Sus scrofa: one gene and its partners. The protein of the gene in region 2 purifies or fractionates together with the protein of the main gene of each other region. This does not show direct contact. Links are inferred from orthologs where the notes say so. Each region holds a gene or a part of one and is shown on either strand. Other genes may lie near its edges.

What was found.
Region 1: the proteins of FBXW7 (region 2) and HSF1 purify together in Homo sapiens (affinity purification with western blotting; 4 studies listed by BioGRID, with this or other methods). This does not show direct contact. The link is inferred for Sus scrofa from reciprocal best matches to the Homo sapiens genes FBXW7 and HSF1.
Region 3: the proteins of FBXW7 (region 2) and MED13 purify together in Homo sapiens (affinity purification with mass spectrometry; 5 studies listed by BioGRID and IntAct, with this or other methods). This does not show direct contact. The link is inferred for Sus scrofa from reciprocal best matches to the Homo sapiens genes FBXW7 and MED13.
Region 4: the proteins of FBXW7 (region 2) and SOX9 purify together in Homo sapiens (affinity purification with western blotting; 4 studies listed by BioGRID and IntAct, with this or other methods). This does not show direct contact. The link is inferred for Sus scrofa from reciprocal best matches to the Homo sapiens genes FBXW7 and SOX9.
Region 5: the proteins of FBXW7 (region 2) and ENO1 purify together in Homo sapiens (affinity purification with western blotting; 3 studies listed by BioGRID, with this or other methods). This does not show direct contact. The link is inferred for Sus scrofa from reciprocal best matches to the Homo sapiens genes FBXW7 and ENO1.
Region 6: the proteins of FBXW7 (region 2) and MED13L purify together in Homo sapiens (affinity purification with mass spectrometry; 4 studies listed by BioGRID, with this or other methods). This does not show direct contact. The link is inferred for Sus scrofa from reciprocal best matches to the Homo sapiens genes FBXW7 and MED13L.
Region 7: the proteins of FBXW7 (region 2) and PRR36 purify together in Homo sapiens (affinity purification with mass spectrometry; 3 studies listed by BioGRID and IntAct, counting the BioPlex papers as one, with this or other methods). This does not show direct contact. The link is inferred for Sus scrofa from reciprocal best matches to the Homo sapiens genes FBXW7 and PRR36.

The regions. Positions count from the first base shown.
Region 1 is NC_010446.5:483,666-487,637, reverse strand, and holds the start of HSF1 (heat shock factor protein 1), read left to right. Parts: upstream 1-1,172; 5' UTR 1,173-1,190; coding exon of another isoform or gene 1,191-1,335; coding exon 1,336-1,452; intron 1,453-3,972. Other genes in the region: ribosome biogenesis protein BOP1, read right to left, coding at 936-1,025. UniProt on the Homo sapiens protein: Functions as a stress-inducible and DNA-binding transcription factor that plays a central role in the transcriptional activation of the heat shock response (HSR), leading to the expression of a large class of molecular chaperones, heat shock proteins (HSPs), that protect cells from cellular insult damage.
Region 2 is NC_010450.4:76,695,027-76,699,151, forward strand, and holds the end of FBXW7 (F-box/WD repeat-containing protein 7), read left to right. Parts: intron 1-858; coding exon 859-1,069; intron 1,070-2,385; coding exon 2,386-2,654; 3' UTR 2,655-3,625; downstream 3,626-4,125. UniProt on the Homo sapiens protein: Substrate recognition component of a SCF (SKP1-CUL1-F-box protein) E3 ubiquitin-protein ligase complex which mediates the ubiquitination and subsequent proteasomal degradation of target proteins.
Region 3 is NC_010454.4:36,417,241-36,420,740, forward strand, and holds part of MED13 (mediator of RNA polymerase II transcription subunit 13), read left to right. Parts: intron 1-1,308; coding exon 1,309-1,451; intron 1,452-1,622; coding exon 1,623-1,781; intron 1,782-1,898; coding exon 1,899-2,084; intron 2,085-3,500. UniProt on the Homo sapiens protein: Component of the Mediator complex, a coactivator involved in the regulated transcription of nearly all RNA polymerase II-dependent genes.
Region 4 is NC_010454.4:8,644,516-8,648,479, reverse strand, and holds the start of SOX9 (transcription factor SOX-9), read left to right. Parts: upstream 1-1,164; 5' UTR 1,165-1,167; coding exon 1,168-1,598; intron 1,599-2,549; coding exon 2,550-2,803; intron 2,804-3,375; coding exon 3,376-3,964. UniProt on the Homo sapiens protein: Transcription factor that plays a key role in chondrocytes differentiation and skeletal development.
Region 5 is NC_010448.4:69,398,865-69,402,801, reverse strand, and holds the start of ENO1 (alpha-enolase), read left to right. Parts: upstream 1-1,137; 5' UTR 1,138-1,309; intron 1,310-1,633; exon of another isoform or gene 1,634-1,791; intron 1,792-3,937. UniProt on the Homo sapiens protein: Glycolytic enzyme the catalyzes the conversion of 2-phosphoglycerate to phosphoenolpyruvate. In addition to glycolysis, involved in various processes such as growth control, hypoxia tolerance and allergic responses.
Region 6 is NC_010456.5:36,062,837-36,066,828, forward strand, and holds the start of MED13L (mediator of RNA polymerase II transcription subunit 13-like), read left to right. Parts: upstream 1-1,192; 5' UTR 1,193-1,313; coding exon 1,314-1,385; intron 1,386-1,464; exon of another isoform or gene 1,465-2,021; intron 2,022-2,066; exon of another isoform or gene 2,067-2,363; intron 2,364-3,992. UniProt on the Homo sapiens protein: Component of the Mediator complex, a coactivator involved in the regulated transcription of nearly all RNA polymerase II-dependent genes.
Region 7 is NC_010444.4:71,322,595-71,326,575, reverse strand, and holds the start of PRR36 (proline-rich protein 36), read right to left. Parts: upstream 2,801-3,981; 5' UTR 2,743-2,800; coding exon 2,075-2,742; intron 1,511-2,074; coding exon 1,236-1,510; intron 1,121-1,235; coding exon 1,021-1,120; intron 794-1,020; coding exon 681-793; intron 588-680; coding exon 1-587.

The DNA of each region.
Region 1 (3,972 bases), on a different chromosome or scaffold from region 2:
CTGAGCAGACTTCTGCCCACCAGACACCACCCCGGCCCTAACTCCACCAGACAGGGTGCACGGTGGAACAAGAACCTGCAGACTCTTAGCAAGCATTCATTGGAAGGCAAAATTCTAGATTTCATTGTTTTTCAATAGTTCCTGAGTCTCTCGCCAAACTGGACAGCCTGCACGGAGCAGCTACCAAACAGCACTCAGCACACACTCTATCGTGCCTAACTAGCTACACAATTACAACGGCAAGTAAAAATGGCACAAATGTTTTGGGCACAAACACAAACAGCCGCTGATGAATACAGAGGCAAAAGCACTACAAGTGGGTGAGCATGGTGCCCAGAGCTGCCTGCCGGCCAGGGAGCACCACGAGCACTTGTCACAAGTGAAGGGGCAGCCTGATAAACCAGCAACGTGGAGTCCCAGCTGCGAGGCTCGACTGCACAAGCCTGCTATGGCTTTCTACCACCGAGATTTGATGAGATTTGATGACACCCCCACAGCGCGGCTGGGGTTCCGCTGGACAGGAAGAGCATGAGTCCAGCTAAAACGGGCCGTCCAGTGCAGCAGGCGCTGCTTTCTCATCCTCGTTTCCTCTTCTACAACGTCTAACGTGTCAGGAACATTTGGCTATACAAGCAGCTACTGCAGGCTCAAATCTTCTGCGCCCAGATGACAATTCAAAGGCCCAGGAAGACCGCTGCGCAGGACGCCGGCTCTCCTTCCTTATTCTCTCCGGCCCAGACCTTCTTCCGACCCACACAACCGCCAGCCAGCTCCCTGCCCAGGACGCCCCCGCAAGGCCGCCGGGGCGGAGGACAGGAGACCCCTCCCTCCTCGCATTCCCAGGCCCGCCGGGCGCTGGGCGGGATCGCTCCCCGGCCGGTGCCGCGGCCCAGCCCCGCCGCCCCCCCCCGCTCCCGCTCCCGCTCCCGCGTCACCTCCTCCGGCTCCCGCCCCGGCTCCAGCATCCGCTTCCCGGGCCGCGTCCCGGCCACCGCCACGCGCCGCGCGCCCTGAGGTCCCGCCATGCCGCCCGCCGGTCTGCCCTGCGCCGCCACTTCCGGCAGCGACGCGACCGCGTGGGCCTGGGGGCGGGCCCGCGGGGTCAGAGGGCGCCGGGCGGGACGGGGGCCGGTGTGCGTGCGCGCGCCGTGGGACGCGGGCGGCGCCGGCGGGAGCGCGCCCGTCGCAAGATGGCGGCGGCCATGCCAGGCCCCGGGGCCGTGTGTGCGCAGCGGGCGGCGGCGCGCGGCCCGGGCGGCAGGCGCGGCAGCGGCGCTAGCCCGGCCCTCAGCCCCTCCTCGCGGTCCCGCCTCCGCCTCTCCCACCTTGCCCGGTATGGATCTGCCCGTGGGCCCGGGCGCGGCGGGGCCCAGCAACGTCCCGGCCTTCCTGACCAAGCTCTGGACTCTCGTGAGCGACCCGGACACGGACGCGCTTATCTGCTGGAGCCCGGTGAGGGGCCGAGGGCGCCGGCCCGGGGCGGGGAGGCCGCGGCGCGGGGGCCCAGGACGGGCAGGCCCGGACCCCGCCTCGCAGGCCCGGTGTGGGGGTGGGGAGCAGGGGGTAGTGCGGGGAGAAGCGTCGCAGGCCCGCTGGAGGTCGCTCCTGTCCACGCCGCTCTCCCGCGTTGGGTAGGAAGGGCTTCTGCCTCCGTGGGCTTGCGCTTGCTGCCTGTGGGACGACTGCGGGACGCGTCTGTGCTTAGAACAGCCCCCGGCTTCGCTAGTGGACGCTGGGCCCCGGTGGCCCCAGAGTTCCAGTGGTGTGGTGGGCAGTTATTCAGGGTAAATCAAGTCTCGGCCCTGGAACTGGAGGGCGTTTCTCTAGTTCGAAAGGAGAGGGAGCGAAAACAGAAAGCACAACGTCATAAAGTTCAGGCTGGTCTCGAGCCCGGGTCCAGATCCCAGAGCTGCTTTCCCAAGAGCGACTCGTGTTTCTTGCTCTGTGCGCGACTTTATTCACGCCCTGTCTCCCGTTGCCTGGCAGCGGGCAGGTGATTTACATGGTCTGACTCCGCAGGCTGGACAACTCCAGTTTGCGGAGGTTGGACTTGGAGATGGACGTCCTGGCTGTGACGTCGAGGTGGGGCAGGTCGGAGCCACGGCTCGCGGCTGGCAGGGGGGTGGCCTAGGCCACCGTAGTCGTAGGCAGGCTCCGGGCGCCTCCAAACGTGCTTACTCTCCTGAGCGCCCAAACGCTGGATTTCTTGGACCCCACTGAGTTGTTGCCTGTCATCCTGCTGAGCCCTTGGAAAGGAAGAGCAGTCTGGGCTGAAAGGAGCCCAGAGCTGGAGGCCACGTTCTCTCGTTCCACTTGTCCCTTTGAGGAGACCAGAAACCGTGCTGCATTCCCTTGGGGACACTGTGTGTTGTCCCAGCAAATATCCATGTGGCGTTCTCCATCCCAGGCCCTGTTTCTTTAACGGTGGGAACCACCCCTTGTTCCAGGCCTTGAACTTTGCCGGCCAAATGAAATGACCCCATTTTTCTGTCTTTTTCCCTTCTCCCTCTTCTTGTCCCTTCCCCGTAACTCCCGTTTGGGGGAGGGCACCAGAGGTCCTTTGGGATGAACCTACTGTGGGGACATCCCGCCTCTCAGTCTGCTCCAGGCCAGGCGAAGCACAGCCAGCGTCAGCTTGCTCCCCAGGCCTCACGGCCTGTATTCCAGGCAAAGCCTGGAGCAGGAAAGCGGACATGGTCCAGCCCGTGATGGTCTCTACTCAAGGTGGCTGCGCCCCCAGGCATGGTCTCCCTGGGGACAAGCGGCCATGGAGCAAGAGCTTTTGATCCTCCTTAGTCTGTACACAGAGCGAGTAGGGTGTGCTTGGTGCAGGACGCAGTGGGGCTGGCCCTGAGAAAGGAGACCAGCCCCTGCCTGGGGCCGGCAGGGTGCCCACAGGACCCCCGGGCCTCTGTCTCAAAGTCCGCTTGGAGCCCTTTGCCGACTCGCAGCCTGGAGTCCTGCTGTCGGAGGCCCCGGACAGGTCTGACGCCTGTGCCCTTGGCCCTTCCCCTTTGTGCTGGAACTTTGCTCATTGTTCCACCAGGAGAAAACCTCTGCCTGTGGCCCAGGGAATGAGGGGGAGGAGGAGGTGCAGTGGTCGACTCTGTGGTCTGCGTGATGCATGACCACGGGCGGGTGCCAGCCCTGGGAGCTGGGGCCGGCCAGCGGGTCGCTGCTCCAGAGGCACGTGTTGGTTTGCCCGCCCTTCCAAAGCCTTGTCCCGTCAGATGCGCCCCGTGCGGCGCCACGGCTGAATAGGCAAGGGCTCCCGCGGGAGGGGACTTGGTGACCGGGAGTGTGGCCTTGGGAGTGCTACCACCACGCCCCCTGGGACATAATGGGAGTCAGACCCTTCTGGCCAAGACTGAGGGCCTCTTTCTCCCAGGAACCGGACCTTGCCAAGGCCACCAGCCCAGGTGGCCCAAGTGAGTGCCACACTCAGGGATCGCTTGAGAGGGGCTAGTGTCCAGGTGGAGCACGGTCTCCGTGGTCAGGTCCCCAGCTCCCTGTGAAACCCCTGGCCACTCCAAGCTGGCAAAGGACCATTTCCAGAGACCCCAGGACAGGCAGGGCCGCCCTCTCCCCTGCCCGGAGCCAGGCGGGCCCCACCAGCCTGCTGAGCTGGTCCTCCGTGCAGGAGCCCGCAGTTGCCCCCGTGCTGGCTTCGAGGGCCACTGCAGAGCCTGGAGGTTCCCGGGGTCCCTGCACCTGATGAGCGTGCGTGGCCGCCGAGCAGGCCTCTGCCTGCCGCAGCCAAACCTTTTCCACACGGAGCCTGTCGCGCCTCCCATTGCCCTGCACGAAGGTGAAGGTGGCCTTTTTACAGACGCGAAACCTGAGCCTCGGAGGTGACAGGAAACGCGAGGAAGACCCTGAAGTGCACAGGCCCTTTGCCCGCCTGCCCCACCGACCGCGCTCTGACCGCGCCGAGTGTCGAGTCTCCAGTCGGGCGTGGGGTCCAGCTCGGGC
Region 2 (4,125 bases):
CTTTGGTTTTGTTATCAGAATGCCACTTCTAATTCTAAACATTATTATCTGGCGTTGGGTTCTTATAAATGGAATTTTTATTTGACATACAGCTTTTAATGGAACTTACTTTTAAATATCATGAAAGTTATCTCTAGCCCTTTTCTGCCTTAGGGGCTGTTGATAAGCACACCCTGTATCATAAGCCACATCAGTAGCTTCAGCTTCCTATTGGGAAATAAAACTCAAAGAGCAATCATCGCAGTGTGGCCAGATGATGGGAATATATGTTCATTTTAGGTGTTTGTTTTTTTTTTTTTTAATATTGTTTTTGCATCTAGTTTGAAGCCACTGGCTGGAAAAAAAAAAAAAGCATTTCTGGTTTGTTTGTTTGTTTTTTGGGGTTTTTTTTTTTTTTTTTTGGCTTTTTAGGGCTGAAAGTGCAGCATATGATAGCTCCCAGGTTAGGGGTCGAATTGAAGTTCCCAGGTTAGGGTTCTAATTGGAGCTATAGCTGCCGGCCTATACCACAGCCACAGCAATGCCAGATCCGAGCCGCATCTGCAACCTACAACCACAGCTCATGGCAATGCCGGATCCTTAACCCACTGATTGAGGCCAGGGCTCATGGATCCTAGTTGGGTTCATTGCCACTGAGCCCTAACAGGAATCCCAAAATGAGCATTTCTGATAGAAGCTTCTAAGAACTTGCTGGGTAGACTTGCTTGATTGCCTGTGCTTTATCCTAGTACCTCATTTTGTTCCTGGCATACGCTGTTTCTCACACTTCCTCCCCTCCCCTCCCCTTTTAGGATTAAGGTCAATAAATAATCTCAAGAGTACCTACCCTTGTGGTCTAGTAACCTGTGTCTGTTGCAGTTTGATGGCATCCATGTGGTGAGTGGATCTCTTGATACATCGATCCGAGTCTGGGATGTGGAGACTGGGAATTGCATTCACACCTTAACAGGACATCAGTCATTAACAAGCGGAATGGAACTCAAGGACAACATTCTTGTCTCTGGGAATGCAGATTCCACAGTTAAAATCTGGGATATCAAAACAGGACAATGTTTACAAACATTGCAAGGTAAATATTGCCTCCCCACCTTGACTTGTTCTCACTGAAGGGAGCCTGTCAGTCAGAAGAGAAATGGAGCGCTTCTTCTGTCACAGAAAGAATTAACCTCCTACAATATGGAAACTTCCTTGCGATAAGTTTATGAGCATTTCCATTCTGACTTGGCACAATGAGGCTACCCCGAGAAAGTGTTTTAAGTTGTGTTTTTAATATAAAATTGTTTAGTCACTTCTCAAATGTACATTAACTCTGCTTAGTCTTAATGTGGAATGAGATCTTGGCCACATCACAAGCAACGTACTCTTCATTTTTTGAATCATTATTTTATTTTATTTTATTTTTTGCTTTTTGGGGCCGCACACGTGGCAATGGGTTCCTAGGCCAGGGGTCTAATCGGAGCTAGAGCTGGTGACCGACACCACAGCCACAGCAACTCGGGATCTGAGCCTCGTCTATACCACCACTCACGGCAACGCCGGATTCCTAACACACTGAGTGAGGCCAGGGATCGAACCCACAACCTCATGGTTCCTAGTCGGATTCGTTTCCACTGTGCCAGAACAGGAACTCCTGAATCATTACTTTATTTTGAATTTGTAGTCCAATTTTAAAGAGCTGCCTTACTGAAAAAAAAAAAAAAAAAGAAAGAAATCATCTCTAATCTGTTAGAAAATTGCTTTGCCTCAGCTTAGACCTTTAACCATCTGCTTAAATAAGTTGGGAAGGAACCACAGTGCCTCCTAAACTGGAGAAGAAAACATGGGAAAGCCACTAATATTAAATGAGGCACAACAGGGTTAACTTCTTATATCACAATTAATTTCTTTTTATTGATCATAGCCCTTAAAATGGGGTTTTTGTCAAGGGGACCATCTGGTGGACTGTACTGCAGCTTTTTTGCTCATTGATTGTGTCTCTTTGTCAGAATTTTGGAGTAGTGTCCCTGAGGTTTTGCCTGTGACTGGTGGGCTACCTGTGGTGTAACACAGGTCTCAGGCTCAGTGTCTGCAGCTGGTCTGCCCACATCAGCCCCGAGAGCATCGCTCATTCCCACAGCCAGAAAACCAGATGCATGCCCAGTCTAGTCGCTAACCACGCTTCCTGGAAGACAGAACCCTCAGAAATTAATGTTTCAATTCCAGATAGCTCCCAGACTCTCTCACATCCCTGCTGATCCTCACATCCTCAGAACACCGTTTCTAGATGTGCATCATTTTACCTCTTTGATTGCTTGTGTATCCCAGTGTAGCTTCTGCACACGACAGAGTAACCAACCCATAGCCAGGGTTTCTCAGCAGTAATTGCATTCCTTTGGTTTTGCCTAGGTCCCAACAAGCATCAGAGTGCTGTGACCTGTTTACAGTTCAACAAGAACTTTGTCATTACCAGCTCAGATGACGGAACTGTAAAACTGTGGGACTTGAAAACGGGTGAATTTATTCGCAACCTAGTCACATTGGAGAGTGGGGGGAGCGGGGGAGTCGTGTGGCGGATCAGAGCCTCGAACACAAAGCTGGTGTGTGCAGTCGGTAGTCGCAATGGGACGGAAGAGACCAAGCTGCTGGTGCTGGACTTTGATGTGGACATGAAGTGACGCGCAGGAAGGACGGCATTGTCCAACGCCTAGGCGACGTACGTACTCCCTGCCCTTCCCCCTGCCAAAAAAAAAAGAAAAAAGAAAAAAAAAAAAAAGCAAAAAGAAAAGGAAAAGAAAAAAAATCCCTTGTTCTCAGTGGTGCAGGATGTTGGCTCGGGGCAACAGAGAGAAAAGACCTACAGACAGACTCGGAAAGAAAAGAGGAAGAGACGAGAAACCACAACTGACAAGAGAAGCTGTCATCTCGTCACGCAGAAGGCTTCACTTTGGACTGAGGGCAGCTTTGCAAAATGAGACGTTCTCAATCCACCCCGGTGCAATTATTTCTTTATTTTCTTCTCCAGTGGTCTTTGGGCAGCGTTCACGCCGAGACGTCCTTACAGATTCTGCTAGCCTGTTCTTCTACCACTGAGACCTGGAAAGAAGCTGCAATACCATCCACACAGTACCGGCGGACTTTCTGACTAGAGAGCATCTGCAACAAAAAGTCATTTTTCTGGAGTGGAAAAGCTAAAAAAGAAAAAAAAATTACTGTGAATTGTTTTTGTACAGTTATCATGAAAAGCTTTTTTTTTTTTTTTTTTTTTTTTTTGCCAACCATTGCCAATGTCAATCAATCACAGTATTAGCCTCTGTTAATCTCTTACTGCTTCCACATACACTCTTCAACGCCTATGTTGCTCAAAGGTGGCAAGTTGTCCTGGGTTCTGTGAGTCCCACGATGGATTTAATTCTTGATGCTGGTGCTAGAAGTAGGTCTTCAAATACGGGATCGTTGTCCCACCCTGTACTGTACTCCTAGTGGCCAAACTTATTTATGCTGCTACATGAAAGAAAGAAAAAAAAAGCAAATTATTTTTTTTTATTTTTTTTCTGCTGTGACGTTTTAGTCCCAGACTGAATTCCAAATTTGCTCTAGTTTGGTTACGGAAAAAAAAAAAAAAAAAGACTTTTTGCCACTGAAACTTGAACCATCTGTGCCTCTAAGAGGCTGAGCATGGGAGAGTTTCAGAAAATAAAGAGTGGAGTTTGCCTGCAAGTAAAGAATCGAGAGTGTGTGCAAAGCTTATTTTCTTTTATCTAGGCAAAAATTAAAACACATTCCTTGGAACAGAGCTGTTGCCGCCTGTTCTGCGGAGAAACTTCTTTTTTGAGGGCTTGTGGTGAATGGATGAACGTACACGATGAAACTGACAACATATTTTAAAAAAAGATATAAAACACAAAATGAAAATAAAGTTGCTGGTCAGTCTTAGTGTTTTACAGTATTGGGGAAAACAACTGTTACAGTTTTATTGCTCTGAGTAACTGACAAAGCAGAAACTATCCAGTTTTTGTAGTAAAGGCGTCACAAGCAAACAAGCGAAATGAATGAAAGAGATGGTTTGCCTCATTCTCCAAGAGCCACAACTCAAGCTGAACTGTGAAAGTGGTTTAACACTGTATCTTAGGTGATCTTTTTTTTTTT
Region 3 (3,500 bases), on a different chromosome or scaffold from region 2:
AATCCGACTAGGAACCATGAGGTTGCGGGTTTGGTCCCTGCCCTTGCTAAGTGGGTTAAGGATCCGGCGTTGCCGTGAGCTGTGGTGTAGGTTGTAGGCACGGCTCGGATCCCGCGTTGCTGTGGCTCTGGAGTAGGCCGGTGGCTACAGCTCCGATTGGACCCCTGGCCTGGGAACCTCCATATGCCGCTAGAGCGGCCCAAGAAATAGCAAAAAAAAAAAAAAAAAAAAAAAGAGAGAGACGCAGCTCTGGAGTCAGAGATCTGGATTCAAATTTCCAATCCTCACACTTACTGGCTGTGTGATCTTGAGAAAACTGCTTTATCCACCTGAGCTCTAGCTTCTCTGTAAAATTAGGAGGATAATTTTATCTGCCTCATTGTTAGTGTGCAATGAGGCATTACATGTTAACTGGGCATAATGCTTGGTATATTTTAAGTACTCAATAAATGGTAGCCACTGTTGCTCAGCCACAGAGCGCTTATTTTATGTACTTGCCTAATAAAAGACATACATGGAAAAAACACTACAGTGTTGTTTGTTCTGAGAAGTGTTGGGGTTTTTTGTTTGATATTCTTAAATTTTTAAAGTATGAAGCAAGGGTTGGCAAACTCCAGCCTGTGGGCCAATTCTAGACACACTCATTTGACTGCCTATGGCTGCTTTCATGCTGCAGTAGCAGCAAAGTTGAATTGTTGCAGGAGAATCTTGCTGGCCTGCAAGTTAAAATATTGGCCTTTTAAAGAAAAAGTTTGCTAATTTCTGGTGAAGAGCAGTGTTTATGGTGTATTTTGGTGGTTTGTGGACAGTTTTTATTATAAGGGTATGTTTTAATGTGTATTACAAAAAAAAAGATACAAACTAATATGCCAAACCTGTGATTTTGTGTATATTCTTGCTTAGGACTTGTGTAAAAAAAAATCAAGCATTAAAATGAAGGGACCAGGGGAGTTCCCGTCGTGGCGCAGTGGTTAACGAATCCGACTAGGAACCATGAGATTGCGGGTTCGATCCCTGCCCTTGCTCCGTGGGTTAAGGATCTGGCATTGCCGTGAACTGTGGTGTAGGTTGTAGACGTGGCTCAGATTCTGAATTGCTGTGGCTTTGGCGTAGGCCGGTGGCTACAGCTCTGATTAGACCCCTAGCCTGGGAACCTCCATATGCCGTGGGAACGGCCCAAGAAATAGCAAAAAGGCAAAAAATAAAAAATAAAATGAAGGGACCAGTTTTTCTGTATTTGAGCTCTTTTTGAAATGTCATCGTATGAATTTTAAAAATATTGATGACTATTTTTGTTCCATACAACAGGGCTCGTCGGAAAAAAGGATCTGCCAGAAGATTTGGTCTACAGAAACTTTGGGAGTGGTGCTTAGGACTTGTACAAATGAGTTCATTACCGTGGAGAGTTGTGATTGGCCGTCTAGGAAGGATTGGTCATGGAGAATTAAAAGGTAAAATTGTGCTTTTATTACTTAATAAAAGCAGAGAGTTTTGACTTGATGATGACTCTTGTTTGAGGAATATATTAATTTTAGAACCATTTGTTTTAACTTTTGTTCTATAGAATGTTAACAGTGTTTGTACTTCGGATATTCTTATTTTTTTACTGTTGATACCCACAGATTGGAGCTGTTTGTTGAGTCGTCGGAACTTGCAGTCTCTAAGTAAAAGACTCAAAGACATGTGTAGAATGTGTGGTATATCTGCTGCAGACTCTCCCAGCATTCTCAGTGCTTGCTTGGTAGCAATGGAACCCCAAGGTTCTTTTGTTATTATGCCAGGTTAGCTATCTTTAATTTATATCAGATTTAATTCTTTATGCACTTAAGTTTCTAAGTTTCATGTAAAATCTATTTTTCATTTATTAAAAGAAAACATGCCTTTTATTTTCTTTTCAGATTCTGTATCAACTGGTTCTGTATTTGGAAGAAGCACCACTCTAAACATGCAGACATCTCAGCTAAATACTCCACAGGATACATCATGTACTCATATACTTGTGTTTCCTACTTCAGCTTCTGTGCAAGTAGCTTCAGCTACTTATACCACTGAAAATTTGGACTTAGCTTTTAATCCCAACAATGGTACGTGAATTGTTCTGTAAAGGTTTGCAAATATAAAATAAATATGGATGATTATGGCTGATTATATATATAGATAATGCCTCCCAAAACATCTGTGTCCTGTGAATATTCCTGAAACCTGTGAATGTTACCTTATGTTGGGGGAGAGGGGAAAGACTTTGCAGATCAGATTAAGTTAAGGATCCTGAGATGGAGAGTTTATCCTGGCTTTAGCAGGTGGACCCAAAGTACAATCATATATATCCTTATAAGAGGGAGACAGAGGGATGTTTGACTATACACAAAAGAGAACAAGAGTTCCCTGGTGGCTCAGTGGATTAAGTGTCTGGTGGTGTCACTACTATGGCTTGGCTTATAGCTGTTGCGTGTGTTCAGTCCCACATGCCATGGGTGTGGCAAAACAACCATAAGACAAACAGGATGTTTTAGAGGAAAGTAAAGAAGTAAAGCCAGGGAAGTTCTTGTGTGGCACAGTGAGATAAGGATCCGATATTACTACAGCTGTGGTACGGTTTGCAACTGCTGTGCTGCTTCAGTCCCTGGCCCCAGGAACTTGGCACATGCTGTGGGTGTGGCAAAAAAAAAAAAAAAAGGTCAGAGGGAAAGACTATGCTGCTGAATTCGAAGATGGAGGAAGGGGCCATGGGCCAAGGAATGCAGGGAGTATAGTTCTAGAAGCTGGAGAAGAGAAGGAAGCAGACTTTCCCGTGGAGCCTTCAGGGAGAGCAAAGCCCTGCCAGTACCTTGATTTTGGCCTAATGACCAGAACTTTGGTTTCAATCCAATACAACTGATTTTGGATTTCTGGCCCCAGAACTATAAGAGAATAATGTTTGTTGTTTCAGGTCAATAGGTTTGTGGTAATCTGTTAAAGTGCAATGGGAAACTAATAAAATCATTCTTCTACCTCAGTATTATCAGAATACTGTGAATTATCCCATAAATGTTTACTTAGTTTAAAGGCAACATTAATCATAAAATATATGTACAAATTTATGCTCATAACCTGTACATAAACTTTGCAGTTCATTTTATATTCTTTTCTATTTCGTTCTTTTAATGATTTTTATTTTTTCCATTATAGCTGGTCTGCAGTATTCTGTCAATTTTCTACTATATAGCACGATGACCCAGTCACACATACACATATGCATTCCTTTTTCTCACATTATCATGCTCGATCATAAGTGATTATAGTTCCCAGTACTATACAGCACGATCTCATTGCTTATCTCTTTTCTATTTTGAATTTTTTTAAATTTTTTAAAAAATTTTTAATTATTTATTTATTTATTTTTTTTTTGTCTTTTTGCTATTTCTTTGGGCCACTCCCGCGGCATATGGAGGTTCCCAGGCTAGGGGTCGAATCGGAGCTGTTGACACTGGCCTACGCCAGAGCCACAGCAACGCGAGATC
Region 4 (3,964 bases), on a different chromosome or scaffold from region 2:
GGTGGGAGTCGCGGGGGGTGGGGTGGGGGCTGGAGAAAGACTTGTCGGAGTTCAAGGTCGGCGAGGCGCGGGACGGCCCCGCGAGCTCGCAACTACCGCGTTGCCGCGACCTCCAGCCTGAGCCGGGACCTAGCTTTGGTTTTCATTGATTCCCTTTGCAAGAGCGCAGCCGAATCCCAACCGGCCGCACCAGTCCCTGTGAAGCAGAGCATGTTAATCTGTTTATATGGATTATTACAGAGGAACAGCGGGTGTTGAGTCACCAAAACATTTGTTTCAAAAGACAATTTCTAAGCACTTTCGGAGGAGGCAAGCTCCAGGCGCGGAAACTGGGCTACGCTTTAAGGAGCTACAGTTTTTTGAATACTGCAAACTCCCCTGGCTTAGTCCCCAAGACCGCGGAGAAAGCAGTGAACAGAAACGCTTGGGGGTGGGGATAGATCCTAGTCTACACACACACACACACACACACACACACGCACACGCGCGCGCGCAGAGATTCGCGCGGAGACGGTACCGAATTCTGACATTATGAGAGTACAGCAAACTTACACACTTGTAGGTCCCGGGTCCCCGCAGCACCCCCCCCCCCAAAACCCGCCGGACCAGCGGCAGTGCTCCCCTCCCCGCTCCTCCCCTCCCCTCTAGTCACCCAGCCCAGAGCCACAATCCTCCCCCCCCCCACCAGACTGCGCCAATCAGCTGCCTGACAACCCCCGAAATGCCGTGCTGTGATTGGCTAGAGGTCCCTAAGGTGAGGGGGTGTATTTATTAAAGAGCCCCTGGGCTGGGAGTTGGAGAGCCGAGAGCGGAGCTTGAAACTGACTGGAAACTTAAGTGGCGCCGCGACTTGCCAGTTTTACCCCCAGGAACTTTTCTTTGCAGGAGGACAAGAGAAAGGGTGCAACCGCCCCCTGCTTTTTGCTCTCTTTCTTCTCCTCCTCCTCTCCAATTCGCCTTTCCCCACTTGGAGCGGGCAGCTGCGGGCTGGCCACCGCGCGCCTTCCTAAAAGCTCGCCGCTGCAGCCGAGTGACGCGCCAGGCTTCCCGGGAGCCGCTCGCCCCGCGTCCGGGCAGCCGAGGGGAGAGGAGCCCGCGCCTCGAGTCCCCGAGCGGCCGCGGCTTCTCGCCTTTCCCGGCCACCCGTCCCCTGCCCCGGGCCTGCGTATGAATCTCCTGGACCCCTTCATGAAGATGACCGACGAGCAGGAGAAGGGCCTGTCCGGCGCCCCCAGCCCCACCATGTCCGAGGACTCGGCGGGCTCGCCCTGCCCTTCAGGCTCCGGCTCGGACACAGAGAACACGCGGCCCCAGGAGAACACGTTCCCCAAGGGCGAGCCGGACCTGAAGAAGGAGAGCGAAGAGGACAAGTTCCCCGTGTGCATCCGCGAAGCCGTCAGCCAGGTGCTCAAGGGCTACGACTGGACGCTGGTACCCATGCCGGTGCGCGTCAACGGTTCGAGCAAGAATAAGCCGCACGTCAAGCGGCCCATGAACGCCTTCATGGTGTGGGCGCAGGCGGCGCGCAGGAAGCTGGCGGATCAGTACCCGCACCTGCACAACGCGGAGCTCAGCAAGACTCTGGGCAAACTCTGGAGGTAGGAGGGCGCGGCAGGGTGGGCTCCGCGGTGGCGGGGGGCGCTGGCTGCGACTGTCTCTTCGCGCCCCGCCTCCCAGCAGGAGGGAGTTGACGGTCCGAGAGCTGGCGGGGCGGGGCGGGGGGGGGCGGTTGGAATAGGGACGAGGTATAACTTGGCTCACAGTTTGACAAAGTTCTTGGATTGCTCTTGGGGAATGGGGGAGGGGTAGGTGGAACGGGGAGGAGCCGTGGCGGGGGTGGGGGGGAAGCCGGAGAAGAGGAGAACACTTGTAGGAGACGCGGGGGGGGGCGGGGGGCTGCCAGCCGGATCTCCCGCCGCTGCGAAGTTCAATCCCAAGTGGGGGGTTGGGGTGGGAATTGAAGTTTGCCTCTGTTTGCCTGAAACTGCCCTCTCTCGTGAAGCCCTACGTCCAAAGAGATGGGATGCAGGGTGGGGGGAGAAACCGAAGCTAGAGGGCCCCCTGGCAGGAAGGGGCGGGGGAGAAGAGAGGCTGCTAGAAATAGGTGGGGGGGGGCTGCCATGGCGGGGCCAGGAGGAGCTCCTTGCAGATTAAGTGGTTTTTTAGAAAGTTTTTAAAGGATGTTGGGGACGGAACGGGGCGGGGGGCGGGTATAACTCCAGTAGCAAAGGCCTGTAGAGCGGGAGCAGCGAAGAGCTATTTTCATCTTCAGGGCTTCCAAAATAGAAGAGAAGGGGAGAGGGCGGGGCGGGGAGGGACCGGCTCAGGTCCGACTAGAAGAACCGAGATTTTTTTTTTTCCTTTTTTTTTTTTAAGAAAAGTTTTGAGCTGCAGTAGCGGGTGGAACGTGGGGAGGAGGGACGACGGGGGCAGTGTTGGAAGAGGCCAAGTGGTGGGGGCCACTCCCCCTCCCGCGGATGTGACAGCTCGGCGGGTTTCACAGAGCCCCTCTCTCTTTTTCTCTGCGCCCCCCCTCACCCCGCCCCCAGACTGCTGAATGAGAGCGAGAAGCGGCCCTTCGTGGAGGAGGCGGAGCGGCTGCGCGTGCAGCACAAGAAGGACCACCCGGATTACAAGTACCAGCCGCGGCGGAGAAAGTCGGTGAAGAACGGCCAGGCGGAGGCCGAGGAGGCCACGGAGCAGACGCACATCTCTCCCAACGCCATCTTCAAGGCGCTGCAGGCCGACTCGCCGCACTCCTCCTCGGGCATGAGCGAGGTGCACTCTCCCGGCGAGCACTCGGGTGAGTCTCCTCCCGGCCCCCAGGCCAAGCCACCGCCGCCACCCCGGCCTGGCCCCGACCGGCACACCCCCAGGCCACCACCTGGTGGGCTCTGCTTAGGGACTTTGAGCTTCTCGGGAAAGGAAACTCTAACCGCTATGCCTAGTCCTCCTCCCCTCCCGGCCCAAGGCCCCAGAAATACCATGAACACACGCGCGCGCGCGCGCACCCCACCTTAATCCCAGCATCCTAACAGATTAATTTTATTGCGAGGTAAAATGCCTTCACAGCTTTCCAGGACCTCTCCCTTTTTCACTTGGCTCCCCCACCCCAAAAGCACACACAGGGCTCTTCTACTAGTAGCAATTTGGTCTTCCGGACCCTCGGGGCCTCAGACGCTCCCCTGATAAAAGGCGAAGGCCTAATGTGTACTGGCGGGTTAATCATTGGGCGGTTTATCTCGGGTGCAGCTCGCCTCCCTCGCGAATGCGGGACTCTGGAGCGAGGCGGGAGGGTCCCTGGAGGGTTCCTAAAACTAAAGCCTTGGCACAGCCCTGGTTGATTTCCCTGTGCTTCTTTCTCTTTGCCTGCAGGGCAATCCCAGGGTCCACCAACGCCACCCACCACCCCCAAAACCGACGTGCAGCCTGGCAAGGCTGACCTGAAGCGAGAGGGGCGCCCCCTGCCAGAGGGGGGCAGACAGCCCCCCATCGACTTCCGCGACGTGGACATCGGCGAGCTGAGCAGCGACGTCATCTCCAACATCGAGACCTTCGACGTCAACGAGTTCGACCAGTACCTGCCGCCCAATGGCCACCCGGGGGTGCCGGCCACGCACGGCCAAGTCACCTACACGGGTAGCTACGGCATCAGCAGCACCGCGGCGACCCCGGCGGGCGCGGGCCACGTGTGGATGTCCAAGCAGCAGGCGCCGCCGCCGCCGCCGCCCCCGCAGCAGCCGCCGCCCGCCCCGCCGGCCCCGCAGGCGCCCCCGCAGCAGCCGCAGGCGCCTCCGCAGCAGCCGCAGGCGCCCCCGCAGCAGCCGCAGGCGCACACGCTGACCACGCTGAGCAGCGAGCCGGGCCAGTCCCAGCGAACGCACATCAAGACGGAGCAGCTGAGTCCCAGCCACTACAGCGAGCAGCAGCAGCACTCGCCGCAGCAGATCGCCTACAGCCCCTT
Region 5 (3,937 bases), on a different chromosome or scaffold from region 2:
TCTGAGGGCATCTGTACTAATCATTCACATTTCAGCTCCGATTTAAGGTCGAAGTGCTGGCTCAGAACGCTGTGCCCTCAACACTGTGCAGTCGGGCTCCAAGAATCCTGCAACAGCAGCTGTCTGAGATCATGTTCTACATTCAATTCCCTGCTAGGAATCACTGGTTGTGGCCAGAGAGCCTTGTCTTTCCACCTTTATCTCTCTAACCATTTTTAACATAAAATGAAAGAGATTGCTTTGGAGCCCTTTGTGGGCTACACCTTAGACTTGCTCTAAAAATTAGTGTCTGATTTCTGCAGAGTTTTTAAGGTTTAGGAGATGGTGGCTGTTGATTTAGCTGCTGAGTCATGGGGCTGGGACCACGGTTTTAAGAAGTCTGAAACATCAGTGTATTGCCGGTGAAATCACAAACTCTCCTTGCCGAGTTCATATAATTTTTTAGGAAACATTTTATAATTTCCTTGTCGCTTTTTTGCTGAATTTAATCCTACAGTTCTTTCTTCCTAGTCAATAGAAAACAAATGATTGTGGACTCAATAGGACTTCACCTTTACCACACTCTAAGAGTTAAGGAAGTACAGCAAGTTTTTACAGCTGGCCAGAAGAAACGATTAAACTCAAATACATACATGAATCTATGCAAGACGATGTGGAAAATATGGCAATGTATGACATTGTTTTAGCTTACAAACTCACAAACTGGGAAAATACGAAAAGTAACTCCATTAGAAAAGGAAGCCCTCCCTTGAGCAGGGAAAGCGTGCAGAACTGATCTGAAATGGGTGTGAGTTCTTTCTCAAGAAGAGAAAATAACTGCGCCCACTCTTGCCTGTTTTCATTTGTCAGACTACAGTGTAATGTTACCTGTTTTGAACTTTGAGAAATCTCCAGGTTTATGTGAAATTCCAATCTCAAAGCATCACATGCAACATTAAGATCCACACAGCGAACTAACCCAGGGCACGCACGTGGGAAGTGTGTAATTAAGGGAAAGTCAATTTCCTTTTGGCTCTCGGTCTGATACTCAGGTGTGACCAACGACAAGGACAAAGGAACCAGGTCACCTTGGCGGGCGGCCGGGCGCGCAGGCGCGAGTGGGCGCACGTGGCCCGGCTAGCGGCTCTGCGGCGCGGGAGCGCAGTCTGGCCACGCGGCCGCCAACGTCTCCAGGCCGACAGGGTCGCGGGCACAGCGCTGCGGGGAGTGGGGTGGGCCGGCCCGGAAGGGCGGGCTGCGAAGGTCGTCACCAAGGTCGTGGGCCGGACGTGCGGCGCCGGAGCGACGCTGCGTGCGTGCGGGACTCGGAGTACGTGACCGAGCCCCGAGCCCTCATGCCGGCCGCGCCGCCCCGCCCCTGCCCCGGGGCCCAGGCGGCACAGACCAGGCTCAGCCTGGGGTCCCCACGTGGGGCGGGAGCGAAAGGAGGCGGGGGCTCGCGCGCCCCCCATCCCGGGCGCCGGGAAGTCAGGCCCCCAGCCCAGCCCCGCCCGACCTCTGAAGGATGTCGCCCCCTCTTCTGGGCGGTGGCGGCCACCGCAGTCTCGCCTCTCCCTGGGAGGGGAGGGCCCGAGTGACGGCGCGCCGGGCCAATGGCGAGGCGGCACGGAGTGGGCGGGCCCGAGGGGCGGGAAGTGGGCGGGGTCTCCTGAGCAGGGCAGGAAGTCCAGGCCCGCGGCGCAGAGACTAGCTGGGGGGACTCGGAGCGCCCGGACCTTTTGGCTTAACGCTCGCTCTCGGCGTCTGCAGCTCCCTCTGCTTATTCCTCGGGCGGCGACCTTCAGCGGCCGGGTGAGGACTCGAGGGAGGGCTGCCGAGCAAGCGCCCGGGGAAGCGGCTCGTGGGTCCCCCAGGCCCGCGGGCGCTCCTGTCCCCCAGACGGCGTGCCCAGGGTTTCGGCGGGGGCCGGGAAGGGGTTTGTCGGCGCGCGCGAGCGGCTCCCCGGGGCCAGACTCGCCGCCCGAGATGAGGGCGCGGCGCCGGGATTCTCCGAAGGGGAAGGATGCAGCTCAGCCTGTGATTACGTGTTTCGGAGCCGCGTAACTGTCCCGGGAAGTCGGGGGTGGAGCACGCGGTCCCCAGGACAGCAGGCGGTGAGAGTGGATGGTTTGGGGAGTGCTCCAGGCCCAACCCGCGTGCTCATTAAAGCCAGGCCGTTCCGAAAATGCTGGGAGGGGCCCGGAAAGGAGACCTGCCCGGGAAGCGCAGCCCCTGCCTCCTGCTGGTGGCCTGACGTCTGGGTGTCCAGCCCGTCGCTGCTCCGGGATGAGCAGGCATGATCCGCCTTCAGAAGGCTCTTGTTCATGGGGAAGCTGCAGCCGAGCCGTGTGGTCACTGGGAAGCCTTCCAAGCGACCTCGCCCAAGTCGGGCACGAGCCGATCCCGGCTCCCCCGGCTGGCCACCAACAATCGGCCCCTTATCTAACATAAAAAGGATGTATTTTAAGAAAAATTCTCTTTCTGTGCTTCCTCTGCAGGGAGGTCTTCCCCATGGGCCGTACGGGCCACTTGTTGACCTGCCCTCGGCGCACCTAGGTGGCGGCCGGCGGGTCCACTCACGCTGCCCCTGGTCCGGGGTTCAGTCCAGGCAGATAAAAAGCTAGTCTGACGCACCAGTCTGTGATCCCTGAATTGTAATGAGTTTGGGGAAAAGTTTTTCTATCCAATTTAAAGAGAAGTTGAATTTTTTTCACATCATGAAATAAGTTGATTGCCTTAATATAGCTAAAATGAAACAAAAGATAAAATCCTCACAACTTCAAAGCAAAAATCAGGGGTGGGGGAGTTCCCATTGTGGCTCAGTGGTAACGAACCCAAGCTAGCATCCATGAGGACGCAGGTTCCATCCCTGACCTTGCTCATTGGGTTAAGGATTCCACCTTGGAGTGAGCTGCAGTGTAGGTCGCAGATGCAGCTCAGATTCGGCCTTACTATGGCTGTGATGTAGGCTGGCAGCTGTAGCTCGGATCTAGCTCCTAGCCTGGGAACTTATATGCACGTGTGGCCCTAAAAGGAAAAAAAAAAAAAATCAGTGGTGAGTTGGGGGAGGGGCTGGAAATGGCTAAAGGGGACTTCTTCTTTTTCTTTTTTTTTATTTAAAGGGGATTTTTTCTGGGTGATGAACATGTTACAGAGGTATATGATTTGCCAAAACTCAAAAGTTACCAAATCTTCAAACTAAAAAATATGTTGAAACAAATTGGTCTTTTTGTACGATAACAGAAACTAGATACCTTTTTCCTGGCTAATGAATAAAACTCCATTGTTACATAGACAACAAAGCCACAGAAGTGACTTCAGTATCTAATTTTGAAAGTTAAAAAAAAAAAAAGATGCTATTTGCTGCTTCAGAACATTCCAGAGAAGACCCTGGAGGGGAGCCCAGCTAGATAATGGCTTCTGAACTTCAGTTTAGTTCCTCCCAGTCCTACAGGTCGTTCAATTAGTTTCTTCCTTTTTGAGCCCTGGGTTGGGGTGGGGGGGAGAAGCAAGAAGGGAGCTTTCTTTGAGGACTTGTTATTTCCATCCTTTTTGTTGTTTTTTTTTTTGTTTGTTTGTTTGTTTTTTAAGGTGTTTTCAAAGGAAGCCTCTTCCCTTGGTACACCCTAGTGCCCACAGATAGACTCTTTCCTCTAGTTACAAATCATGGCATTTTATAATGAAGTTTTTTTAAAATGGGGTAAAATAAAATGCCCATTGAAAGGACCACTAATTAGATAATGTTATTGGTGTGTCCTTCTTTGCTAAAGACCCAACTACTGTGAGGTATGAAAGGCCCGGAAATTGACACAGACCCGGGGCCCACTCCAGGCCTCCAAACTCAGAGTTTCTAGGTGATTATGCAATATCTCCCAGTTGAACATCCTGCTGCAACCTCAAGTTTAACTTGATGCATTATGTTCCCAACTTTTAATTCATTACATACCAGATTTTCCCC
Region 6 (3,992 bases), on a different chromosome or scaffold from region 2:
CATTTCTGCATTTCTTAGTGCCTGGTATTCAGTAAGCGCTCCTGGGCGAGGGTAATAAACCTTAGTGCAAGAGCTTAGCTTCCCTGTGCATGGGTGCAGGGGTTTGAATCCCATCTCCTCCTCTTCCCAGCTGTGGGCAAGTGACTTAATCTCTTTGTGCTTCAGTTTTCTCATTTGCAAAACACGGACGACAGAGTGAAACCTTGAGACACGTGGACATGCTGTCTGGCCAACAGCGAGCCCCACCACCCAGTCGCCCAGGCCGTCAGAGGCACAGGTTAGGGGCCCCAGCTCTCCGCGGCCACTGCCACAGGCATTCCGGGGGTGAGGTAGCGCCGCGTAAAGATCCTAGCACCCGAGGGGGCGGGGCGCGGCGCCCAAGCGGGGCAGCGCACAGCAGCCTGAGGCCGCTCGCCCGGCCGCTGCCAGCCCGGCAGCCGCGCCGCCCGCACTTCTTTCTCTCCCTCCCCGTCTTCCTTCTTCTCCCGGCCGGAGAATCCGATCGCACTCGGCTCAGCAGCGCCGCCCGCGAGCCCCGCCGCCGCCGCCGCCGCTCAGGGCCCCTCCCCCGTCCCCCCTCCCCGCGCGGCCGGCGCCCGTCACGTGATAGGGCGCTAGCCAATGGCGGGCCGAGCCGCGGTCGGCGGCCGCCATTGCTGTCAGAGTGAGAGAGCCCGGGGAGGGAGGAGAAGCGAGGCTGACTGGGGAGGAGGAGGGGGGGGTGGGGGAGGAAGAGGAAGGAGGGGACGTCGCTCGGCTGCCGGGGTCGCCCGCTGGCTTCGTCCGCACCCCCCCTTCGCGAGTTCGCGCTCCGCGGCTGCGGCGGCTCCGAGGCGGCGGCGGCGGCTCCGGGGCTCGCCTCCTCTCACGCGCCGGCGGGGGCCGAGGGGGAGTCGGTGGCTGGAGATAAACAAGGCGGCGGCGGCGGCGGCGGCTGAGGAACAGGGAAGGCGGAGGCGGCGGCCGGCCCGCAGCGCCGGCCCGGGAGGCAGCGGCGGCCCTGAGAGGCGGGGAGGGCGCCCGGCCGCGCGGACAGCGCCCCCCGCCGCCGCCGGAGCCGCCGCCGCCGCCGCGGGAGCAGGAAGGAGCCGCGCGGCCGCCGCGGACCCCCCCGCCGGCCCGGGCCCGCCGCCCCCGGCGCGGCGTCGCCGCGGCGCCTCCCACCCGCCCGGCGGCCCTCCCGCCCTCCCCCGGCGGCGGCGGCGGCCCGGCTGCCCCGCGCTCTCCGGCGAGGCGCTGCCGCCCGGCCCGGCCTCGCCTCGGACGCCTCGCTCCGACATGCCCCGCTCTGGCGGCCGGGCTCGCGGAGGATCATGACTGCGGCAGCGAACTGGGTGGCGAACGGGGCGAGCCTGGAGGATTGTCACTCCAACCTCTTCTCGCTGGTGAGTAGCCGGGCTGCAGGGAGGGGGCTATGCCGGGGTGGGGGGGGGTCCCCGACCTCCGCCGCCGACCTCCGCCGCAGACCAACTTTCTCCTCCCGCCGCCGGGACTTCGCCCCTCCCTCGCCTCTCCCCGCCGTTCGCCTCTCGCTGATTCTCCCCCTTTTGGATCGTCTCTCCCTCGCCTTGGATCCCATCCAGTGTTTATTTGGCTCTTTAAAAATCATTTGTGAGCGCGGCGCTCGGCGTGGAATTTGCATGTAGAAGTCTCAAAGCTGCGGATTCTGGGTCGCACTTCGAACGCCCACCCTCTGTTGCCATCGCACTCCCCTTCCCCTCCCCTTCCCCCCCTTTTTTTCCTAAATGTGGAAAGCTTTGCCTTGTGCTGCCCGCGCCTGCGATAAGCAGCCTTTTTCCCCCCTTGTCGGATGGGCTGCCCGCCCGCCCGCCTTTTGAATTTTTAAAAAATTCCATAATGACACCTGCAATTTCGCCCGAAAACAGTTGATTGAATGCGATTGTGTCAGTAAAGGACTCTTGCACCCGAAGCTCCCGCGATTGTAAACATCGACAGCCGCCTGCCTCTTGGGGCTTACTACGCTGGAGAGCCGTAAAGCCATTGCACCGAGCCGACGGAAGGTGGAGAAAGCTTTTTCTTTTTTCTCTCCTCCTGTGTTTTTTAAAAAACTGTTTTCTCTCTCCTAACACACACACACATACACACACACACAGCAGCAGCAGCAACAAGCTGGGCGGTTTGATAACATCGCTTTTATCTGCCTTCATCTCCCTCGCGCTCTCTCTCTGATAATTGACAACTTTTCCTTCGGATTTGAATCGCCTGCCTTAATCTTGAAGCAGTTAGGGTGTCAATTGTTCTCCTGGAAGCCTGGCACCCGACGACGGCGTCTAGATTCAGCGAAATTAAAAATGTATAGGGCTCCAGCAACTCTTTCCTGGCGGTGGCAGTGACATTTGGTGGTAAATGCCATCTTTGCTTTTTATTGGGTCGTATTACCTAGCTCTGAAAACATTCACGTTGTTAAACCTGGCGTTTAGGCTAATAATTGCAGTGCGTGGTCTTTAAATATGTGCTTTGTGCATGGGTTACTGTATATATAGCTATGTGCCCGGGAGACTACGAATTTGTTTAAATATTGAGCAAAGATTTGTAAACAGATGTAAGGCAATTATGTTTCAGGCGTAGAATATAATTGGAAAATTGGCTGAACGGTTTGTTTAATTTAGCCTTAAAAAAAGAAAACCCCAACTTATTTTAAGTTTTGTATCCTTTTTGGGGGGGACTGCCTTTGGAGAGCTTGCATTTTTGAAATTGTTTTCTGTAACCCCTGCTGTAGATAGGAGCATTATTTTCTCTTAATCCTTGTTTACACTGGATAAATAATTTAGTGTTCAAATTGTAATTAGTTGCATTTAATTATGGGTAGCATAGATGCTTTTTTTTTTTCTTTGAGACTAGTGGAGAAATACAGATTCTTGCCAACTTTTCAAATGGAAGCTTTATTTTTTTAAATAAATTTCATTATGCAGATAAAAAAAATCAAAACGTGATTTTTACCTGCAAAGACCCAATGACATAGTATCTTTGCTTTCACTGTAATAAGGTCAAGTCAGTTTTTTCAACATTTTTATTTAGATATTTAATCTTAAAAATCAATGATAAGTTGCGAGTCTTCTTTATACTGTGAAAATTTTCCCTTGATCTTTTGCTATGTGGAACTAAAACTCATTTTGCTGCTGCTTTGCTCCTCTCAGTCTGTCATTTAGTATTAGTCAGATGCAGGGACTTCCATAGATTAGCAAACGTATTGATTAAGGGGTATTTAAATGGTTTTTGTTTGGCGGCTGGTGACCACTTTGACACTTTAACAGGGAATTAAAATAACCGAGTAGACCAGTATTAGTGAGGAGAGATTCCAAATTACCATATATCATGCTGACTAGCAACGGCTTGTATGTATGTGGCTAATTTATATACAGTACGTTTTGTAGACAAGTCAAAGTACATGTGTAGCCTGTCTTTTGGAGATATCATTTTTTTATCTTTTTTTTTTTTTTTAAAGCTTAAGTAAGAATGATAATGTTATAGAGATAAGATGCTTAAGATTCTTTTGGAGAGGCAATTTGTATGCTTTGCTGTGCTTTATGACTGACTGAAGGTTTATGCTTTAGATTTTCTAACCTTTTTAAACCAGGAATTGATTTTTGAATATACTTTTTTTTTAAAAAAAAAACAATTACTCTTTAGGTAGCAACTTTGAAATGCAGAACTGCAGCGTTGTTTGGGTTGATTTTTTTTTTTTTTTAAAGGACTGTAGAATGTCTACATTCTATTGTATGTAGAAAGTGGATAGGTACAAATTAAAAAAATTTAGGATTCAGAGCTGTTGATAATTATAAATTTTACTCATTGCAAATTGAGAATTTTCTTGAAAATTAGATATAGCAGCAACCTAGAATATCAAAAATATTTTGCCTAAAGTACATTGTTTGGAATTGTTCATTCCAAAGGAGATAAAATCATCACCTGCTCAAAATAAAGCATGTATTATAAGAACTTGTGGTGCATAATAATAGCATACATTTTTC
Region 7 (3,981 bases), on a different chromosome or scaffold from region 2:
AGAAGGAGGAGCTAGCTCAGGGGGCGTGGCCAAATGAAAGATAGGGGCCGGGGAAGGGGGTGTGGTCTGTGGAGAGGGTGGGAGCAAGCCCTGCACTGGAGCGGCAGTGATTCCGGGAGGCATTGCGGTGGGACAGGGAAGAGAGGATATGGCCAAAGGAGGAGTAAGGCCCTTCACAGGAGCCGCGCTCTTTCTTGGGGGTGTGGCCTGCGGAGGGCGTAGAGCCTGCAGTCCTTTGGACTTGGGTTGCGAAGGATGCCCCAGAGCCCGAGGTGTTCCAGTCTGCGAGACCCCGGAGCGAGCTGGGGAGGACAGAGGGGTGGCGGTAGAGCCCACGGGGCGCGCAGTTGGCCTTTGGAGGCCTCCACCGGCGCTGGATCTCCTCCTGGCGGCAGGGCTCGACTCTGGGGCGCTGCGCTCTGGAGCACTGCGCTCTGGGGCGGTGCTCACTGATTTCCTCGAAGCCTCAGTCGGGAGTCTTGGCCGGGTACTCGGAGCTGCCCTGGGGACACCCACCTCAATGCCCACAGCCCGGGACCGACGGGAGATGGCCGGAGAGGGGATGGCTGGGGTGGACCCAGAAGAGTCTGGGGACAAAGAAAAAGGCCAAAGGGTCACCGATCATTCTAGGCTGGTCCCCCTCATAGCCCAGGAATTTCGTTCCTCCCCATGTCACATACCTTTCCGTGCCCCGGCACTCAGGGCACTCCTTCTGGGCGCTTCTGGGGCTTTTCCTCTGGCCACAGATTCCTCAGCTGGGGGCCGGAGCCCCTTCTGCCCTGGGGAGCCTAGCCTGGGGACAGGAAGGGGTGCGCTCAGGGCAGGGTCCCAGCTCCTTGCTTCATCTCCCTAGCCTACATTTCCCCATCTATGACTGTGGCATATGCCCTCTGCCAACCAATAATAGCTTTCACCAATATGAGCCTAGTAACGAACAACTGCTCCCACACACTAATTAAAACATTCCAGATGAAGACACTAACCTTTGCCTAAGGGACCAGGGGAGAGGGGGCATGTTACCTGGTAGGTCCACTGGCACGCCCCGGGCTAGAGACACAGCTTGAGCCTGGGGTCTTGGCAAGGGCTCGCTCCCCTTTCCCAGCTCCTGGGGGTCTGGAGGCTGTAGGGAGAAGGCTAAGTCAACACAGGTGCCCCGGAAAGAAAGGGTAGGCTGGGGCCTCAGAGGATCGGGGGCAAGAAGATGGGATCAGAATGGGGCAAAGAGGCTGGAGTACCTGGGCTTCGGGGGCCTGTCCCAGCGCTCCGCGTTTGTCCCACCCTAGGGGAAGCGTCCGCGAGAGCAGTTGCCCGGATGCCACCAGCTCGCTCTGCAAGAGGCCCTCGCCCTGCAGCTCCCGCTGCTCCCAGAACACGGAGAGCCGCGCTGGTTACTGGGGGAGGGGGTCGTGGAGATCCAGGGGGCCTGGGGATCGGAAGGCCAGGAGAGCGAGAAGCCGGCGTACGACCGGCCACCCCTGCCCTGGACTTGTCCCTCTTGTCCATACCGCACCTGATGAGGAAAGAGATCAGCATCCCAGGTCCTGGACAGCTACACTGCCTGCAGGAACCTGGGTCTTGGCATCTCTCAGCTCCTTCCCCAGCGTCGCCACCCATGGGTGCCCAAACCTCCGCCTATATCCACTTCCCACCCACCCGACACTTATCAGCGCAGCTGCTCACCGTTGTCCCTAAGTCCCACCCTCACCGCTTTCCTCCAGGCCCTGCCTGCTTCAGCCCACCCTCTCCCCCGCCTCTGCTCCCTCTCGGGACCGAGACGGGAGATTCACCCCACCACCACCACTCGCCCCCTCAGGGACCCTGACCACCAGGGTCGAGACAGGTGGCTGCCATAGGTTCTAGATGAGGAGGACGGGAACGAATCTCGGGTTCCCTCGCCAACCCCCAGCGCCGTCCTGGGCTTCCTGGAGGGATGCAGGCACCTGCCAGGAGGAGGAGCGGCCCCGGCTGCCCGCGAACGGGCTCCAGGAAACAAAGAGCCGCGTCCGGAGCCCGTCCCCTCCCCCAGGCTGGGCCCTGGTCTGCGGCGCCTTCCACCTGCTGGCGCCGAGCTCACCTCTGGCTCCGGCCTCCAGCCGCTCCACGCTCGGTCTCCTGGGGTGGGGCCGGGTAGGAGCGCCGCGGCGGCTCTGAACGGAGGACAGACGAGGGGAGGGGGCGGAGGGCGGCGGCGCGGGGAGGCGGGCCAGCCCCTCGGCCGCGGGCGGGGGAGAAGGGGGCGCGCGCGCAGGATGCAGACCCGGGAGGCGGAGGCGGCAGCGCGCTGAGTAGTGGCGGGGCGTGGGGGGGGGTGGGCAGTGGGCGTAGGAAGGAGGGGCAGCTTCCCCGCGGCTGCGCCTGAGGACCCCAGACACCCAACCCGATGGGCTTCGTGTGGGGAAATTCCTTGGGGTCCCGGACCCAGCCTAAACCCACCTCCCCGTCCACTCTCACACACACACCTGCCCCAGCCCCCACCCCAACCACCTGGCGACCAAGGCCCGCCTGGACGCGGATAGGCTGGGCCCTGGCAACCAGGGGCGGGAACATCGCGCCTCGTGCCCAATCGTCCAATCCAGCAGCTCGGTGTCCCCGGCCAGGTCCTTGCCTTAGCGACTGTAGAGGCGGGCACCCCAAGGTTCCTGGGACTTCTGTTCCCCTCCTACCCAAAGGCTTTTCGCAGACCCTAGGAAACCCCCTACCTGGTTGGGCTGGGGTGGCGGAGGACAAGGCAGCTCTGGGCATGTAGGAGTAGACCCCAGATTTGGGGGAAAAGAGGAAGAAAAGAAAGACAAGGGGGAGAGATCGAGGATGATGAGAGGTGGTCCAACCTTCTGCAGGGCAGAGCACCCCCATTCTCCCAGGTCGCATGAAGTCAAGTCAGCAAAGCATCTTGGCAGAGCCCGGCTTGGGGGAGAGGAGATTATGGGGTCCTGGGGTGTAAAAACAGGTGCCTTAAAGGAGCGGACAAGATCTCATTCGAAGTTTCCCAGCCCAGCCAGAGGGAGTGGAAGATGTCATTTTAGTGATACACCAACTGGTGCAGGGGCCTCATGGAGGACCTGGATAGGGGACTGTAGCATGGAGGGGGTAGAAATGTGAAGAGGAAGGGAGATGGCCTTCCTCAGGCCCCCTGAGCCTGCTGACAGTTCCAGGCAACCTCCTGTGCCTGTGCTTATACTCACACTGTGCTTTCTGCCCCCAAGCCAACTCTTCCCAGACTTTTAGCCACCCACAAACCCTTCCAGAAGAGCCAGCTCCCTTTGTCCCAACCCTTACCCCATCTGTCTCTTTCTCAAACACATACACACACAGAGCAGCAGCAGCTCATGCCATCTGGATCATCCCAGGGAGCTTCTGTGTACAGGAGAGGGAAGGATGGCACTTGGTACCTGGGTGAACCTGTTGTGATTACCTAGGATGTGGCCAGAAGCAGGGGTTTGGGTTTTCTTGACTCAGGAATTGTTCCTACAGCTGAATTTGGTTTTGGGAAGGAAGACAGACATAAAGGGCAAGGTCAGAACTGAATATCCTGCTTGGCCAGTGGAAGCCAGTGTTTAGAACACATTCTCCCCATGAACCCTCCTTCCAGTCTGAGAGAGGCACCTCCACAGCCCCAAAGGGCACTGCCCTCTGGATTGGATCATTCTAGATCACCTGTCTTCTATGTGCAAGGGTCCTTCCAAGGCTACACTGAACCCATCCTGCATTTCACTGGGATCTGGACTCTCCTCTCTTGGACCACTCTACAAACTTGGTCCATCAACAGGAAATGGGTTAGGAGTTCCCTGGTGGCCTAGTAGATTAAGGATCTGGTATTACTGCTGTGGCTCAGGTCACTGCTGTGGCTTGGACTTGATCCTTGGCCCAGGAATTTCTGCATGCTGAGGGCGCAGCCAAAAAAAAAAAGAAAGAGGAGTTCCCATCGTGGCGCAGTGGTTAACGAATCCGACTAGGAACCATGAGGTTGCGGGTTCGGTCCCT